2 linked regions of the Kluyveromyces lactis genome follow. The protein of the gene in region 1 interacts with the protein of each later gene in a biochemical or structural test. Links are inferred from orthologs where the notes say so. Each region holds a gene or a part of one and is shown in the gene's direction. Other genes may lie near its edges. The genes, in order: MGE1 and MXR2.

Region 1 (3,008 bases):
ACTCCGACTAGTAGTGCATCGGCGAGTTCTGCACGGACTTTGAAAAATCGACCAGTACCTCCACCGACAGCATCATCAGTGACACCGCTATCCAGTACTAACTCTGGAAGTGCGATGGGATCACTTTCGAACAAATTGCACGGGCTGAAGATCAATACGGACCATCTGCCAACGTCTGGATCACAGCAGTCAACCCAAAGTGCAGATTCGATGACTTCCAATCTAATATCCATGTACGATAGCGAACCAACAACAAGCAGCAGCACAAGCCTGGTAAACCATGGGAAAGAAAGTGAAATTATAGAGCACGATAGAGATGATAGCACAGATGAACTTGAGTCAGATATATGGCAAACTTACAAGATCCATGAACAAATTGATACGTTGGGAATATTGGGCGAAGGAACTGGAGGATCGGTCACGAAATGTAAGTTAAGGAACGGTTCAAAAATATTTGCATTGAAGACCATTGCCACGATAGAGAATGATGGCTCAGAGAAACAAATATTCAGAGAATTGCAATTCAACAAGAGTTGTAAGTCTGATTTCATAGTGAGGTATTACGGGATGTTTGCATGCGAAGAAACCTCGACAATTTTTATTGCGATGGAATATATGGGCGGAAGATCGCTAGATTCGGTGTACAAGCACCTTCTCTCTAAGGGGGGACGAATTGGTGAGAAGGTTCTGGGGAAGATAGCTGAGAGCGTACTTAGAGGACTATTTTATCTACACGAAAGAAAGATCATTCATAGAGATATTAAGCCACAGAACATATTGTTCAACGAAATAGGACAAATAAAGCTCTGCGATTTTGGAGTCAGTGGAGAGGCAGTGAACTCTCTTGCCACCACGTTTACAGGAACATCATACTACATGGCTCCAGAAAGGATACAGGGCCAGCCATACAGTGTTACCAGTGATGTATGGTCTTTGGGTCTCACACTATTGGAAGTTGCACAGGGACACTCACCATTTGATACGGATAAACTAGCAGCAAACATGCCCCCTATAGAACTTTTGATGCTTATCTTGACTTTCACACCTGAATTGAAAGATGAACCAGAACAAGGCATAGTATGGTCCAAATCCTTCAAATCGTTCCTTGATTACAGTCTGAAAAAAGATTCAAAGGATAGACCATCTCCAAGACAAATGCTACAACACCCCTGGATGGTGGGACAAACCAAGAAACACGTTAACATGAAGAAGTTTATTCAAACTTGTTGGGCGGATTGATTGCTAGCCCCTACTGGCCCACTAGATAGAACATGCAGGAACATGTATAGATAAATCATTTCTCAAATGGCTGCATGTCACGTGTTCCACAACATAAATCGGATCAAGTTTCAATTTTTTCATAGAGTTTGGTTTGAATTGAAAAAATGATCATGAAAGAGAGAAAGAACCGTATATAAGAAGACATTTAAGAAGAAAGAATTAGTAAAACAACCCAATACATCTTACATACCAACTGTCACTACCTCTTATTGACACTCAGTTGGATTTGAACTCACTTTGTTTTGCTAAATAACCACTGTTAATAGTGAGACTCAAGTCGACCAGAGAATATTTACTAACAGAATACAATAAAATATGAGACCATCAACCAGATTCTTGAGAAGCGTTACCAGAACTGTTCCAATCGGTTTCAGATCTACTACTGTGCCATTTGTATCTAGCACTTTGAGATCTAGTGCTGCAACCTCCAACCAGTTTTCTGCTAGGTTTTCCGGTGTTAGATTCTATGCTGATGAAGCCAAGAAGGAAGAACCTAAGGATGAGAACGATGCAGCTGCAGCTGAAGAAGACGCAAATTTGACTGAAGAGCAAAAAAAGATTAAAGATTTGGAAACCAAGTTGGATGCCAAGACTAAGGAAGCCTCTGAATTTAAGGACCGTTTGTTGAGATCAGTTGCTGATTTCAGAAATTTGCAAGAAGTTACCAAGAAGGATATCCAAAAGGCCAAGGATTTCGCTTTGCAAAAATTCGCCAAGGACTTGTTGGAATCCGTCGACAACTTTGGCCATGCTTTGAACGCTTTCAAACCAGAAACTCTGGAACAATCTCAAGAGCTTTCTGATCTATATACCGGTGTCAAGATGACCAGGGACGTTTTCGAAAAGACTTTGAAGAAGCACGGTATTGAACAACTAAATCCAATTGGCGAATCTTTTGATCCAAATAAGCACGAAGCTACTTTCGAATTGCCTCAACCAGACAAGGAACCAGGTACCGTTTTCCACGTTCAACAAATTGGTTACACTTTGAACGACAGAGTTATCAGACCAGCTAAGGTCGGTATTGTTAAGGACAATGAAAATTAGAAAATCTCTCAATAAAGAACCCCGAACCCAAAATCGATCTACTTCAAATGACCTTACCATGACTTATAATTTACGATAATGCTTGTTTTATGAACCTTCTAACTTTTTTTCCCCTCCTCACTCCATTTTTCTTTCATTCTGCATGATAACATCGATCAGCTTTTGAACGGAAAACATCTCTTTTTGTTCGCAGCAGGTTTGACTTTTATGTTCCCTCATAACGGTCATAATGGTCTCGCCACAATGACCCTACTTAATTCCCATGTAAATAAACTTGCACATATGTATATGAATTCTCTACCATGATCCAAAATGAAAGGACCTTTCTTTCTCTTATTAAAACGGTCTGTCATCCGTTAAGGTACGTCCGAGAGCATGAACGAAACGCATAAGTAAGAACATCCAACCCCTGCAGGCTCTACATCTTTAGTATACTCTGAACTCAATCTTCCATCAGCCACTCCACCCAAAACGGTATCTATATGAGCCCTCAAATCCTCAGAGGAAGACATATCAGTATCTACTGTTTACATTCTGGCTCTACGCCTAAGTCTACATGTAATGAAAAGAAAACAATAAGAGAACTGTCAAACTCCCCTTCCCCAGAAGATTCAAGGGGTATACAGTACCATAGCGAACTGCAGAAGCCGTAAACATCAAAAAGATGAGTTCGAACAATA
Region 2 (2,837 bases), on another chromosome or scaffold:
ATCGCATTTCTTAAAACCTTTTCACATGAATCCTCCTTTGAGGCACGTAATTGTTTCATAGGTTCTGAACTTGGAGCTGATGATACTCCAGCTCCGCCTGGAGTATTCGCCGATCCGGGTGTGGTGGCAATATGTGACGATGAAACATTTCTGGTGCTTGAAGATTGTGGTGGCAGCCCTGGATTGGAATTCGATCTGTATTTGGGTGATGATGGCGTGTGTGAAGAATGGTGTGGAGCTCTATCGAAGTAATCTTGCGAAGAAGGTTGATGTTGAAGTTGTTGAGAAGACTGAGAGGAACCTGAACCAGATCCACTGTTCCTCTTCACGATTTCCAACAAATCCAATCTGAGTTGCGCATAATTAGATTGGAATTCTTGTAACTTTTCATTTAACGTCTGGTGTAAGCCTTTCATAGTCAACACTAATTCTTGTTCCGGTGCTTGTTCTTCCGTGTCAACAAATTTGTTTATGCATGTCTTAAGCCTCACGGCACTAATGCTATCAGGACATAACTCCTTGCAATCGGCAAGTGTGATTTCAGATAACGTAGATCCAGTTATCTTGTTCTCTCGTATTCTATCTAGGATGAATGTATCTCCGTCCGTTAATCCAAGTTCTGCTTTGACTTTCTTGCAAACCTCCTCAGTTGACCATTCATTTGTACCGCTCATTATTTGTTTTTGTTTCTATGCCTGTTCTTAAGAGATGTAAAAACACAATTGAATCACTGGTTAGCCACTGATCAATATGCTTCTGTTGGCTCAATGATATGCTCCACAGACTGAGCTGTTCCCCGGATCTCCTTTCATCAACTTTCTGGTATCACTTGGTTTTATTCAAATAATCGATTAAGTTTAAATATAGATTTTCCCATATTGTCGGAAATCATAAAGAAATGACAAGGAACCCTGCGAATATTCTGACATAAGATTCCTGGGGAACGGGGTAATCCTGTTACTACATTCGCGCTAGAAGTATTTCGATGCAATCGTAACTTTGATTCATTTATTTACAGGACATACGTGTGGAAAATATACAACTATCTATCATTCCAACGGCCATGGTTTATACTCTTTCTTTCCAAATGTCATCGGAGGTACCTTTCCTTTCTTGGTTCTTCTGCCACTGCTCTTTGTGCCATTCCTGTACCTTCACGGGATCTTTACTATGGATCACACAAAACTTAAATTTCTCGAATTCTTTCAGACATTCGTTCATGTGGCCATGTCTGTAGTAATTTCTAAACTGACCTCCTAAACTGAAACATCCTGTTAACTGATCAAATGCATCAGTGCAAGACATTGTTGTTGGATAATTAGATGACATAGTGTTGAATATCGTTTACAGTCTATGATATTTTCTATTTGGTAAGTAGCTGTGGTAATGGTCAAAACTGGGCGGACTGGTTTGCTGCTTCCGTAATCAACCTCCTTCTTTCGTTTTGTAGATTGCTCTTTATTGACAAAGATGTTTAAGCTGTAAATTATAGAATTTTGGATTTTTTCAACTAGCTTTCTGCAAGAAGCCGATGAGCCATGCTATCGTAAAGAGAAAACAACTGGAAACTCGCATTTGTAATCACCATCGGATCTATTGTTCAGCTTTCATTATTTTGTTGATAGGTATAATTCTTAAAGTTTTACCACTCCATAATTGTTTCACACTTTTGATGCTCTCAAGAAGTTGTTCAAGGATTTTATCTTTAAACTTATCAAAGCAATTTTACAGAACAATGAATAGCACCGGTAAATGGAATCCGAGTTTGACTTCAGAACAGCTAAGAGTACTACGTGATAAGGGTACGGAGAGACCAAACACAGGAAATTACTTGCACAACAAACAAACAGGGATTTACTCATGTGCAAATTGCGATTTGCCTATTTATAAGAGTGAGACGAAGTTCGACTCAGGCTGCGGATGGCCTGCGTTTTATGATGCTATACCGGGATCTTTAACTTTTACTCGCGATGAATCGTTTGGGATGGTTCGTATAGAAATATGCTGCAGTAGATGCGGTGGTCATATGGGGCATGTGTTCGAAGGGGAGGGATGGCAGAAAATCTTGAATTTGCCAACTGACCAAAGACATTGTGTCAACAGTTGCAGTTTGAACTTCAAGGAAGGTTAGTGCTCACCAGATTAGGCAAATAGTTGTAGGTTTGCAATTATTTAGCTCACTTAGTTATATTAGGTGTACAATATTACACAATTAAAACAGATGGCTCTACGGTTTTTTACGCTCCGCCAGGAGATCGCATCAATTCTTAATTTTATTGTTATCGCTAAATGGATCATTGGGCTGAGCGGCTCCACCTCTAGATGTGTACGAAGGTATTGATGCCTCATCAGAAATGTAAGCTTCGTTGTCCTCTTGATCATCTTCATCACTGTCACGTTCATTCAAAGAAGCCATGTCTCCTTCTTCGGCTAATTGGTCAAATGCCATCAATGCATTGACCAACTCCTCGTTAGCATGGAGTAAAGCACCTAAAAGTTCACCACCGGTAATCAGTTGCAAATAACGTAGAACCTTCCTTCTCAATGCTCTTGCTTGAACGAATTTGGCCGTACACAGCTCACTGTCGGTGGACTTACTATGAGCTGGAATTGCCAACAAAGCATTCGATAGAGACACTGCGGTTTCTAAGGAGTCGCTAATCAATAGTTTAATCTTAGGAGCTTCCTTCTCAAGGTCAATTCTTGGAATCCCATACCGTTCATCAGCGGTGACAGCTCTTCGATCGGCAGTGTCACTTAAAAATTGAGGTAATGCTTTCTTTTTCTTCTGATAAGATTTGTTCATGACCTTGGTATGTCTTTTCTTGTTTTTGTAA

The links.
Region 2: the proteins of MGE1 (region 1) and MXR2 form a complex in vitro, tested with the Saccharomyces cerevisiae proteins (2 studies listed by BioGRID). The link is inferred for Kluyveromyces lactis from reciprocal best matches to the Saccharomyces cerevisiae genes MGE1 and MXR2.

Annotation. Positions count from the first base shown.
Region 1 is NC_006040.1:623,511-626,518, forward strand, and holds MGE1 (mitochondrial nucleotide exchange factor MGE1), read left to right. Parts: upstream 1-1,596; coding exon 1,597-2,328; downstream 2,329-3,008. Other genes in the region: mitogen-activated protein kinase kinase MKK1, read left to right, coding at 1-1,239. UniProt on the Saccharomyces cerevisiae protein: Essential component of the PAM complex, a complex required for the translocation of transit peptide-containing proteins from the inner membrane into the mitochondrial matrix in an ATP-dependent manner.
Region 2 is NC_006039.1:103,649-106,485, reverse strand, and holds MXR2 (peptide-methionine (R)-S-oxide reductase), read left to right. Parts: upstream 1-1,531; coding exon 1,532-2,131; downstream 2,132-2,837. Other genes in the region: STE50 (Ste50p), read right to left, coding at 1-674; EMI1 (Emi1p), read right to left, coding at 1,069-1,329; LSB5 (Lsb5p), read right to left, coding at 2,261-2,837. UniProt on the Saccharomyces cerevisiae protein: Methionine-R-sulfoxide reductase which catalyzes the reduction of methionine sulfoxide (MetSO) to methionine in proteins. Plays a protective role against oxidative stress by restoring activity to proteins that have been inactivated by methionine oxidation.